Linked DNA regions of Saccharomyces cerevisiae S288C. The protein of the gene in region 2 interacts with the protein of the main gene of each other region in a biochemical or structural test. Each region holds a gene or a part of one and is shown on either strand. Other genes may lie near its edges.

Region 1 (2,768 bases), on a different chromosome or scaffold from region 2:
ATGAACTGTAACAGAAAATAGGAAAAAAAAATTGTCATCTGAGAAATTGCTTTGGATGACCAGATCCAAAACAGACATAAGCATTCGTATAATTGGTACATAGGTATATATCAAATAAAAATATGCATTATTCTAAAAAAAAAAAAAAAAAAAAAAAAAAAAAAATCAAAAATGTCTCTCTAAAGGGTGATTATAAAAAACTTGGTTTGGGCAAGTTTTTAGCCTCCCTTGGACCATTAGTGGCGAAAGTGGAGCCTGCATAAGAGTGACTGAGTTTTTTGGCACTGCCATTACAACCCATTGGTATTATCCCTTGAGAGCCATGCGGGGATTGTTTCTGGTTCAGAAGCAGATTCTTTAGGTTCTGACTCAGTAAACGAGTATCATCTTTGTTGTTCTGTCGTGGCGTTTCTTTATTATTCTGTCTGTTTTTTTTACCTAAAGTAGTTGTAGAGGAAGGGGAAGAAGGTGGAGAGTGCTTCTTTTGATTAAATGATGGTTTCTTGTTGGAAGAATGGCCGAAGTTAGGTTTCTGACCGTTAGGAAGAGTTTGAGGAGGTGGTATATCTGTGATATAGTTGTTATTATTGGCGTTCTTAGCAGCATTTCCCCTCGCACGATTATTTCTAGTTTTTTGTTTGATTAGATTATTTGTCTTGTTCCTGCCAGCCGATGGCAACAGCCTGGAGCTGTTGAAATACATGGTATCCGTCGACATGCCTTGTAATATTTGTGTGAGTATATTTGTGTGCTAAGTGTAATTACGTTACGCTTTGCTGAGTACTTCGTCTTCAATACAGAGTATGTTATTGTCCTTGTTATTTGAAGACTTTTACCTTTTCTATCCGTATTTCTCTATCCGATACAACAACATCATTTTACACGAACAGCCGGATGATAAAACTGTAGTACGTATGGTATTTGTGATATCCTATATAGCCATATAATTACTAGCAGCTATGCAACAGTCAAAGGATCGCAATCCATTTTGCTTACGACTACTTCGTGGCCCTCATCTTGCAACAAGCCCTTCATAACGTCTTGAAGGAATCCACGCTCAGTATTTGAGTGGTTGCAAACAATAACGGTCTTGCCCATTTCTTTCCACTTCAGTACTTCATGATGTGACATTTCTCCCGTATAGTAAAGGTCTACGTCCTCTTTTAGTTGCTTAAACACGCCAGAACCGCTCCCGGCACAGACAGCGACTTTTTTGATTTTGAGTTGATTCCATGCGGATGGAGCAGCAAGAGATGCTACTTGTACATAGGGAACCCGTAAAACACGCTTGACATTTTTGACAATTTGCTCCAAAGAGATGTCTTTATTGAATTCTACGAATCTACCGTAGCCAATCAAGTCGTCAGTTTCGCCACTTACAGTTTCCAAGGCATAAGACTTTGCGACGTTCTCTCCGTTGTTCAAACCCCTAACCAACCAGTCATTTACACCGCCACGAGCGGCATCTACGGCAGTGTGAGGGCAGTATACGGATATTCCGTACTGGATTAGCTTTATAGCTGTCTCGTGTTGTGGGTTTGTATGTGGGCTTAATCTGTTCCAGCTTGGGAAAATAAAAGGATGGTAAGCAACAATTACGTTGCAGTTAGCATCCACAGCTTCTTGAGCAACTGACTTCGTGAGGTCTACAGTCAAAAGGACCTTTGTTTTAGCGTTTGCATCGGCAGTGGTGACTTGTGCAGTGGAACAATCGATGAGAAGACCCGTATTGTCCCAGCTCTTGTCTGCGTACTTTTGAGGGTAGAACTTGGTAATGCTACGCACAAGTTTGTCCAATTGTGCTCTAGTAATAGCTCTGCTCATTGCGTTTCGGTGGACTCTTGTTCTGTTTCCTTCCGACTGTGTATTGGAATAAGTTTTTCGGTGTTATATATATACATATATATGACAGGTGAAAGAATTGAAAAGGTGAAAATAAATGACGAATTTGCAAAATCACATTTCCTAACAACTCAGTGGAGAGAAACAAAGCGCCAACGACACTATAAGATGCCCGTTACTGAACAGGGACTCCGCGAGAGGATAGAATCAGCCATACCGCAAGTTTACCATATCATTGTGACGGATCTTTCGTACGGTTGTGGTCAGTCGTTTGATATTGTGGTGGTCAGCGACTTCTTTCAAGGTAAAAGCAAACTAATGAGGAGTCGTGCAGTGAACAAGGCTGTGAAAGAAGAGCTGCAGGAGATTCATGCCTTTAGCTGCAAGTGCTACACTGAGGAGGAATGGTCTAAGATTGTGGTATGAAAAGGATGATATTGTTCTATTATTAAGTTTCGAAAGGAGACGGCATTGAATCTTTTTGGCATAGACGATTTTGCTTTCTTACGTTATTTACATCGGAGAGTATGTATTTGTGTAGTTATGTACTTAGATATGTAACTTAATTTAATGATATGGTGGGGGGCTATCCTCCATGCCCCATTTCCAGTTATTTGAAGGTTCTTGCGAGTTCAAACCTATGAAGTAAAACGGTTTCTTTTTAGATGTATCTTTCTTGGAGTCCAAATTTAGCGATATTTTTTCTGGTATAACGTATTTATCCCTTATCGATACTGTTGTTTTCAAATATGGGGGAGATTGTTCTTCAAGCTCGGGTATCGGTGTTTGGACCGGTGTGGACGTAACTGTTTCAATAGCAGTACTATCATCAACAGCCTGTTCTCCTTGTGATTGTAGGTTCGATGGTGTGCGGGTCTTTTTGCATTTGATCTTTCTTCTCCTTGGTTTGGCATTGTCGTCGTTGC
Region 2 (6,954 bases):
AAAAAATATGTCAGACCACCACCAATGTTAACCTCACCTAATGACTTTCCAAATTGGGTTAAAACATACATCAAATTTTTACAAAACTCGAATCTCGGTGGTATTATTCCGACAGTAAACGGAAAACCCGTACGTCAGATCACTGATGATGAACTCACCTTCTTGTATAACACTTTTCAAATATTTGCTCCCTCTCAATTCCTACCTACCTGGGTCAAAGACATCCTATCCGTTGATTATACGGATATCATGAAAATTCTTTCCAAAAGTATTGAAAAAATGCAATCTGATACCCAAGAGGCAAACGACATTGTGACCCTGGCAAATTTGCAATATAATGGCAGTACACCTGCAGATGCATTTGAAACAAAAGTCACAAACATTATCGACAGACTGAACAATAATGGCATTCATATCAATAACAAGGTCGCATGCCAATTAATTATGAGAGGTCTATCTGGCGAATATAAATTTTTACGCTACACACGTCATCGACATCTAAATATGACAGTCGCTGAACTGTTCTTAGATATCCATGCTATTTATGAAGAACAACAGGGATCGAGAAACAGCAAACCTAATTACAGGAGAAATCCGAGTGATGAGAAGAATGATTCTCGCAGCTATACGAATACAACCAAACCCAAAGTTATAGCTCGGAATCCTCAAAAAACAAATAATTCGAAATCGAAAACAGCCAGGGCTCACAATGTATCCACATCTAATAACTCTCCCAGCACGGACAACGATTCCATCAGTAAATCAACTACTGAACCGATTCAATTGAACAATAAGCACGACCTTCATCTTAGGCCAGGAACTTACTGAATCTACGGTAAATCACACTAATCATTCTGATGATGAACTCCCTGGACACCTCCTTCTCGATTCAGGAGCATCACGAACCCTTATAAGATCTGCTCACCACATACACTCAGCATCATCTAATCCTGGCATAAACGTAGTTGATGCTCAAAAAAGAAATATACCAATTAACGCTATTGGTGACCTACAATTTCACTTCCAGGACAACACCAAAACATCAATAAAGGTATTGCACACTCCTAACATAGCCTATGACTTACTCAGTTTGAATGAATTGGCTGCAGTAGATATCACAGCATGCTTTACCAAAAACGTCTTAGAACGATCTGACGGCACTGTACTTGCACCTATCGTAAAATATGGAGACTTTTACTGGGTATCTAAAAAGTACTTGCTTCCATCAAATATCTCCGTACCCACCATCAATAATGTCCATACAAGTGAAAGTACACGCAAATATCCTTATCCTTTCATTCATCGAATGCTTGCGCATGCCAATGCACAGACAATTCGATACTCACTTAAAAATAACACCATCACGTATTTTAACGAATCAGATGTCGACTGGTCTAGTGCTATTGACTATCAATGTCCTGATTGTTTAATCGGCAAAAGCACCAAACACAGACATATCAAAGGTTCACGACTAAAATACCAAAATTCATACGAACCCTTTCAATACCTACATACTGACATATTTGGTCCAGTTCACAACCTACCAAATAGTGCACCATCCTATTTCATCTCATTTACTGATGAGACAACAAAATTCCGTTGGGTTTATCCATTACACGACCGTCGCGAGGACTCTATCCTCGATGTTTTTACTACGATACTAGCTTTTATTAAAAACCAGTTTCAGGCCAGTGTCTTGGTTATACAAATGGACCGTGGTTCTGAGTATACTAACAGAACTCTCCATAAATTCCTTGAAAAAAATGGTATAACTCCATGCTATACAACCACAGCGGATTCCCGAGCACATGGAGTCGCTGAACGGCTAAACCGTACCTTATTAGATGACTGCCGTACTCAACTGCAATGTAGTGGTTTACCGAACCATTTATGGTTCTCTGCAATCGAATTTTCTACTATTGTGAGAAATTCACTAGCTTCACCTAAAAGCAAAAAATCTGCAAGACAACATGCTGGCTTGGCAGGACTTGATATCAGTACTTTGTTACCTTTCGGTCAACCTGTTATCGTCAATGATCACAACCCTAACTCCAAAATACATCCTCGTGGCATCCCAGGCTACGCTCTACATCCGTCTCGAAACTCTTATGGATATATCATCTATCTTCCATCCTTAAAGAAGACAGTAGATACAACTAACTATGTTATTCTTCAGGGCAAGGAATCCAGATTAGATCAATTCAATTACGACGCACTCACTTTCGATGAAGACTTAAACCGTTTAACTGCTTCATATCATTCGTTCATTGCGTCAAATGAGATCCAAGAATCCAATGATCTTAACATAGAATCTGACCATGACTTCCAATCCGACATTGAACTACATCCTGAGCAACCGAGAAATGTCCTTTCAAAAGCTGTGAGTCCAACCGATTCCACACCTCCGTCAACTCATACTGAAGATTCGAAACGTGTTTCTAAAACCAATATTCGCGCACCCAGAGAAGTTGACCCCAACATATCTGAATCTAATATTCTTCCATCAAAGAAGAGATCTAGCACCCCCCAAATTTCCAATATCGAGAGTACCGGTTCGGGTGGTATGCATAAATTAAATGTTCCTTTACTTGCTCCCATGTCCCAATCTAACACACATGAGTCGTCGCACGCCAGTAAATCTAAAGATTTCAGACACTCAGACTCGTACAGTGAAAATGAGACTAATCATACAAACGTACCAATATCCAGTACGGGTGGTACCAACAACAAAACTGTTCCGCAGATAAGTGACCAAGAGACTGAGAAAAGGATTATACACCGTTCACCTTCAATCGATGCTTCTCCACCGGAAAATAATTCATCGCACAATATTGTTCCTATCAAAACGCCAACTACTGTTTCTGAACAGAATACCGAGGAATCTATCATCGCTGATCTCCCACTCCCTGATCTACCTCCAGAATCTCCTACCGAATTCCCTGACCCATTTAAAGAACTCCCACCGATAAATTCTCATCAAACTAATTCCAGTTTGGGTGGTATTGGTGACTCTAATGCCTATACTACTATCAACAGTAAGAAAAGATCATTAGAAGATAATGAAACTGAAATTAAGGTATCACGAGACACATGGAATACTAAGAATATGCGTAGTTTAGAACCTCCGAGATCGAAGAAACGAATTCACCTGATTGCAGCTGTAAAAGCAGTAAAATCAATCAAACCAATACGGACAACCTTAAGATACGATGAGGCAATCACCTATAATAAAGATATTAAAGAAAAGGAAAAATATATCGAAGCATACCACAAAGAAGTCAACCAACTATTGAAAATGAATACTTGGGACACTGACAAATATTATGACAGAAAAGAAATAGACCCTAAAAGAGTAATAAATTCAATGTTTATCTTCAACAGGAAACGTGACGGTACTCATAAAGCTAGATTTGTTGCAAGAGGTGATATTCAGCATCCTGACACTTACGACTCAGGCATGCAATCCAATACCGTACATCACTATGCATTAATGACATCCCTGTCACTTGCATTAGACAATAACTACTATATTACACAATTAGACATATCTTCGGCATATTTGTATGCAGACATCAAAGAAGAATTATACATAAGACCTCCACCACATTTAGGAATGAATGATAAGTTGATACGTTTGAAGAAATCACTTTATGGATTGAAACAAAGTGGAGCGAACTGGTACGAAACTATCAAATCATACCTGATAAAACAGTGTGGTATGGAAGAAGTTCGTGGATGGTCATGCGTATTTAAGAATAGTCAAGTAACAATTTGCTTATTCGTTGATGATATGATATTGTTCAGCAAAGACTTAAATGCAAATAAGAAAATCATAACAACACTCAAGAAACAATACGATACAAAGATAATAAATCTGGGTGAAGGTGATAACGAAATTCAGTACGACATACTTGGATTAGAGATCAAATATCAAAGAAGCAAGTACATGAAATTAGGTATGGAAAAATCCTTGACAGAAAAATTACCCAAACTAAACGTACCTTTGAACCCAAAAGGAAAGAAACTTAGAGCTCCAGGTCAACCAGGTCATTATATAGACCAGGATGAACTAGAAATAGATGAAGATGAATACAAAGAGAAAGTGCATGAAATGCAAAAGTTGATTGGTCTAGCTTCATATGTTGGATATAAATTTAGATTTGACTTACTATACTACATCAACACACTTGCTCAACATATACTATTCCCCTCTAGGCAAGTTTTAGACATGACATATGAGTTAATACAATTCATGTGGGACACTAGAGATAAACAATTAATATGGCACAAAAACAAACCTACCAAGCCAGATAATAAACTAGTCGCAATAAGCGATGCTTCATATGGTAACCAACCATATTACAAGTCACAAATTGGTAACATTTTCCTACTCAACGGAAAAGTGATTGGAGGAAAGTCGACAAAGGCTTCGTTAACATGCACTTCAACTACAGAAGCAGAAATACACGCAGTCAGTGAAGCTATTCCGCTATTGAATAACCTCAGTCACCTTGTGCAAGAACTTAACAAGAAACCAATTATTAAAGGCTCACTTACTGATAGTAGATCAACGATCAGTATAATTAAGTCTACAAATGAAGAGAAATTTAGAAACAGATTTTTTGGCACAAAGGCAATGAGACTTAGAGATGAAGTATCAGGTAATAATTTATACGTATACTACATCGAGACCAAGAAGAACATTGCTGATGTGATGACAAAACCTCTTCCGATAAAAACATTTAAACTATTAACAAACAAATGGATTCATTAGATCTATTACATTATGGGTGGTATGTTGGAATAAAAATCAACTATCATCTACTAACTAGTATTTACGTTACTAGTATATTATCATATACGGTGTTAGAAGATGACGCAAATGATGAGAAATAGTCATCTAAATTAGTGGAAGCTGAAACGCAAGGATTGATAATGTAATAGGATCAATGAATATTAACATATAAAACGATGATAATAATATTTATAGAATTGTGTAGAATTGCAGATTCCCTTTTATGGATTCCTAAATCCTCGAGGAGAACTTCTAGTATATTCTGTATACCTAATATTATAGCCTTTATCAACAATGGAATCCCAACAATTATCTAATTACCCACATATATCTCAATAACAAAACGAACAACATGAGATAAAACACGGCCTTCCCTAGCTGAACTACCCAAACGTATAAATGCTTGAACAATTAGTTTAGATCCGAGATTCCGCGCTTCCACCACTTAGTATGATTCATATTTTATATAATATATAAGATAAGTGACATTCCGTGAATTAATCTGATAAACTGTTTTGACAACTGGTTACTTCCCTAAGACTGTTTATATTAGGATTGTCAAGACACTGCGGTATTACTCGAGCCCGTAATACAACAATACACAGTTGTTACGGTCCTATAGTGTAGTGGTTATCACTTTCGGTTTTGATCCGGACAACCCCGGTTCGAATCCGGGTAGGACCTTTTTTAACTGTGGCTTCTCTGTTGAACCATCAGTTACTTTTTTTTTTTTTCAGAGAATGTGTGCCGGGTCATGAGATGCCAAACTAAGAGGTCATTAAAATATATTTCAAAGACTAAATGTGTTCTTTTCAGGTTCCATCTGCATTTTCTTTTAACTACACCTCGTACTGTTATAAACGCCACCAAGCAAGATATTACACAGCAGCAAAACTTTTTCAGGAAATGCCTGTTATTGAAATTAACGATCAAGAGCAATTTACTTACCTAACTACCACTGCGGCCGGCGACAAGTTAATCGTGCTTTATTTCCATACCAGTTGGGCAGAACCATGCAAAGCATTAAAGCAGGTTTTTGAGGCCATTAGTAATGAGCCTTCCAATTCCAACGTCTCTTTCTTATCCATTGATGCGGACGAAAACTCGGAAATTTCAGAACTTTTTGAAATCTCAGCTGTTCCATATTTTATCATAATTCACAAAGGGACAATCTTAAAAGAATTATCCGGCGCGGATCCAAAGGAGTATGTGTCTTTATTAGAAGACTGCAAGAACTCAGTCAATTCCGGATCATCACAAACTCATACTATGGAAAATGCAAACGTAAATGAGGGGAGTCATAATGATGAAGACGATGACGACGAAGAAGAGGAAGAAGAAACTGAGGAGCAAATAAACGCTAGATTGACTAAATTGGTCAATGCCGCGCCGGTAATGTTATTTATGAAGGGGAGCCCCTCTGAACCTAAATGCGGGTTTTCGAGACAACTTGTGGGTATCTTGAGAGAACATCAAGTAAGATTTGGCTTCTTTGATATATTAAGAGACGAATCTGTTAGACAAAACTTGAAAAAGTTTTCTGAATGGCCAACTTTCCCTCAACTTTATATAAATGGGGAGTTTCAAGGCGGTTTAGACATTATCAAGGAATCCTTGGAGGAAGACCCTGATTTTTTGCAGCATGCTCTCCAATCTTAAATAAATAGATGTATTTAGTGTAAATTGAAACAGAAAAGTCTCCATTTCCAACTAATGGTATGCAAGCATTTTTATATGTGTGACATAATGAATGGCTTCTGGTTAAGTTTGGCTTTTTGAACAACCATTGCCCGGAGAAAATAAACGCGTGAGCAGTAGCTGATACGCGTCTCACTTTTTCATAAATTCATGTATAGGTCATCGCCATATAGAGAAAATATTTGAAATTACATCTGTTGAAACTAATAAGAGCTTTTCCTTGGAGCCTTCTTTGCTAACAGATAAGATTTTTTAATTGGAGCAACTAGTTAATTTTGACAAAGCCAATTTGAACTCCAAAATGGCCCCAGCTACCCCTAAAACTTCTAAGACTGCACACTTCGAAAATGGCTCCACATCTTCTCAAAAGAAAATGAAGCAATCGAGTTTGTTATCTTTTTTCTCAAAACAGGTACCTTCTGGCACACCGTCAAAGAAGGTCCAGAAGCCTACTCCAGCGA
Region 3 (3,880 bases), on a different chromosome or scaffold from region 2:
TGCAATATTGCCTTTTGGGAAGAAGGATCGAAAGTAGCCATTTGCAGACACGTTTTTACTATATTTACTGTATCTTCGATTGCGCGGCTAAAGTTGCCATATTATTATTATATTGCAGCTCAACCCCGCATTTCCGGAGTTTTCTTTTTTTTTATTTGGGGTAATTTGGAGGTCGGCGGCTATTGGTGGGCCGGAAATGGTGACACACTTGTAATATATAAGGAGGAAATCCTACATGTGTATAAGCGAAATCACAAGGATAATAATGTATTGCTAAACACCCTCAAGAAAGAAAATAATCATAACGAAATCATGGGTATACCTATGCAAATATACCAGGATGGGAAGGGGGTGCAATTTTACCACACGAGATATCAGAACGTATTTGACGAACGGGCGAGCAAGTATGGCAACTACACGGTGAATAATGATTACCCACAGCTTCCAGATACGATAAAGGAACATATCGACCAGCTTACCTTTAGCAATGTCGGAGAGGATGGTGGAGATGTTGGAAACTATTCTGAAGAAGACGATGATGGTGACGAAGAAAAGGAACTTGAAGATGTTTTTCGAAGTAACCGTGGGTTGGAATTTGTACGGATTAATAACTATTTTACTACCCACGATTTACAAAGTTTCAAAAGTTTTAGAAATTTCAATAGCAAGTACTGGATTTTTTATTCTAATCAAGCAGAGGACAAAAAATTACTGCTGTATGACTTTAACGGCCAACATTTGATTTTTATTAAGCAGCAATTTTACGGGCAGTTGAATTTACTGCTATCGGACGCAATAATATGTATGGACTGCAATTTTGGTTATAATTCAAACACCATTCAAATTTTAGTTGGATTTCAGAATGGAAAGTTGTTAAAGCTAAACTGCGACTTGAACGGAAACGTAAACAATCACTTGCTTTTGAAGGATCCTTCAACTTCCTCTCATCAAAGCCACCTATCTATATTAAATGTCTGGGCAGGTTTGTTGCCACATTTCGTTGTTTCTTTTAGTTTGAAAGATGGGCTGCTAATAACTTCTTTAGATCACCAACAAAGCAATGGAAGTTTTCAAAGTTTCCATACCAACATTGATTTGCCTGTAGATCTACGCACGACCACAAATGTCAAGTCCGTTTTAAATTTCCCTCAGTTTACTTTATACAAAGGAAATGATATGATTTTCCACTGCAAGAATCTATTAGGATCGGATGCTTCCACGCTAAACAAGGAAATAAACTTTATGCTTAAAATAGACGAAGACGTTCAAAAGATCGACTATCTTCTTAAAACGAATCACATTTTACTCGAAACCAACATGAGATATCTGTCCATTCCAACAAGAGACCCCATAGAGAATTCAAATTCTTCTCCACCCGTCTCAGACAGCGAGGTTTATCCAATATTTTACAAGACACAAGAACTTCATGTCCATGCTTCAGGAACAGGACGTCAGATAGCAAACAATGGGAAGTATATTTTTATAACCGAGCAACATCTCTACGGAACAGCGTTATCGGTATACAAGTACTCTATATCTTTCAAACGGTGGCTGTTCGTGGGCTACTCAGACATTAGGGCCAAATACGGTATAAGGAGTGTCAAAGATCTCTTTGTTGGTAACTGTCCCTCTGTAAATAGCCCAGTGCTGACAATTCTTACTGATGACAATAACATTCAAACAATTCTTCTTAAATAAAGGTTAAGGAAATGTAAATAAAAAAAATAACAGTGACATTAATTTGTATATATCTCAACTTCTTCACTTTAACCTGTCTGAGCTGTTTGGTTTTGAACTGGAAGCACGTTTCTCATTTTATTGAACGATACCAGAGCCATTCATTATTCGATTGACGGTAAGCGGTATTGTGCGAAAAGCAAAGGGAAAAAATAGAAAGAACAAAAAAAAGAAAGAAAAAAGCACCGTAAAAAAAAAAATCGTTTCGTGGGCCGAGATCGGTAAAGTGGCTTTCTTTTAGTCAGAATTGATTTTCTTTTGATTAAGGCAAAAACTGTGCAAATTAAACTGATGGACCTATACATAATAGTGAACACGACTCATTCAAAAAATTTGTTGTAGTGACCAGAAACTCTGGCGCAAATTAATCAAGAGAAAGCGACCCCCAAGAAATGAAAGCAAAGTCGATGAAGAGCATAATATCTGTGCCAATATCAGTGTCTAAAACAGGGAAAATGAAGTTAACAGCATCTCCCGATAATCTAGCATCTATGATGTCTAAAGACCAAAATAAACTTATTCATTTAGACCCAGTTCCGTCTTTTGAGGACAGGCACGAGATTAAACCGTGGCTACAGAAAATATTCTATCCTCAAGGAATAGATATAGTCATCGAAAGATCAGATAGTAGCAAAGTTACTTTTAAGTGTAGGTCAGTACGATCGAAAGTAGGGTTGAACCCTAAATCCAAAGGTTCCTCTTCAAGATCCCATGCATGTCCATTTAGAATTAGAGCAGCCTACTCTGTGCGGTTACAGAAGTGGAACGTGGTTGTTATGAATAACATACATTCACATGAGCTGAGATTTGATTTGATTACTAAAACGGATGACTATAAAAAGTTTAAGGAAAATCTTCGTCAGAAGAACGACGAAAAAGCCATCAAAACATTTGATGAATTAGAATATAAAGCAAGTCTAAACTTACCACTCGTCACACCAATTATTTCTTGTGACTGTGGGTTAACCAAGGAAATTGAAGCTTTCAATAACATTTTTCTCCCACTATCAAACCCCCCTTTGACGTCTAAAAAAAATTTGCTCAAAACAAATAAAAACTCCGTTTCTAAAATAAAATCCAGACAGATGGATAATTCGAAACCTAGGCCAAGGTTGAAAACGAAGTTGGATGCGGATCTACATGATACCGGATTTTTAGACAATTTCAAAACGCGGAATTCCTGTGTAAAGATAGAGAAAGAAGATTCTTTAACGAACTTAAACGAAATTGATTTTACGAACATGTTTTGCAACGACAATTTCATCCAAAATTACAACCAAGGCCTGATGGAACTTTTGACAGAACCTACACCAGGTCCTTCGTCCTCTTCTTGTATACTTCCTTCAACACCAACGAGGCCCTTGTCACAAAGCAAAATGGATATAGCCCTGTCAGAATCAACAACATCTTCACCAAATTTTATGGAAACAGACGCTCCTTATGGAGATGAGATCATTAAAGTTTCCAAAGATACCAAAAGCAACGCACCAACTGCTGATACAGATATTGCTACGAACTTAGGCAAAGAGAGAAACGAAAATTTTGGCATGTTAAACTACAACTACGAAGCGTTGCTTCATTTCAACGATGAGCATTTTAATGAATTAAATTCTATTGACCCAGCCTTAATATCAAAATATTAATTATTTAGTTTTCAACTCATTAAAACGGTATCACGTTTAAATATGTGACAAGATCTGATGGACATGAATAATGGTGATATCAGCACCATCGAGGGATTTTGGACCTTAGACTTTTTAAAGCTACGGAGGACTTAAAGCATGTCGATACAAATAAGATATATCATGGCTTCATGCGCTCAAAAGTTTTATTCTTCAAGTTTGTTGATTATAATATGGTTCACGTGCGCTTCATCTTTTCATAGGTAATGCACCGCAACATTCAATTATCTAAAAAACTTTCAGGCGTGCCGGTCCCCTAATTTTTGCACTGAGATCATGAGATCAGTAAGTAAAAGCTCATATAGGAAATAATCATATAGAAAAAAGCAGAGGAATGATATTCGAACATTTTCTATACATCACCCCTCCTATTTTTAGATGAATCTCTAAGATCTAAATGCCCTCAACTTAAATATGATATTGAATTAAAATGAATTGTAGTATAGAAGATATTTAGGGCA

Evidence for each region. The genes of interacting proteins can lie anywhere in the genome.
Region 1: the proteins of GRX3 (region 2) and BOL2 form a complex in vitro, tested with the Saccharomyces cerevisiae proteins (4 studies listed by BioGRID).
Region 3: the proteins of GRX3 (region 2) and AFT2 form a complex in vitro, tested with the Saccharomyces cerevisiae proteins (2 studies listed by BioGRID).

What each region holds. Positions count from the first base shown.
Region 1 is NC_001139.9:80,469-83,236, forward strand, and holds BOL2 (Bol2p), read left to right. Parts: upstream 1-1,905; coding exon 1,906-2,268; downstream 2,269-2,768. Other genes in the region: EDC1 (Edc1p), read right to left, coding at 191-718; NIF3 (uncharacterized protein), read right to left, coding at 958-1,824; ERMES complex subunit MDM34, read right to left, coding at 2,410-2,768. UniProt on the Saccharomyces cerevisiae protein: Involved in the regulation of the iron regulon in response to decreased mitochondrial iron-sulfur cluster synthesis. May be involved in mitochondrial organization and biogenesis.
Region 2 is NC_001136.10:643,678-650,631, reverse strand, and holds GRX3 (monothiol glutaredoxin GRX3), read left to right. Parts: upstream 1-5,701; coding exon 5,702-6,454; downstream 6,455-6,954. Other genes in the region: YDR098C-A (gag protein), read left to right, coding at 1-828; mismatch repair ATPase MSH6, read left to right, coding at 6,795-6,954.
Region 3 is NC_001148.4:167,588-171,467, reverse strand, and holds AFT2 (Aft2p), read left to right. Parts: upstream 1-2,129; coding exon 2,130-3,380; downstream 3,381-3,880. Other genes in the region: YIG1 (Yig1p), read left to right, coding at 313-1,698. UniProt on the Saccharomyces cerevisiae protein: Transcription factor required for iron homeostasis and resistance to oxidative stress. With AFT1, activates the gene expression in response to low-iron conditions, also called iron regulon.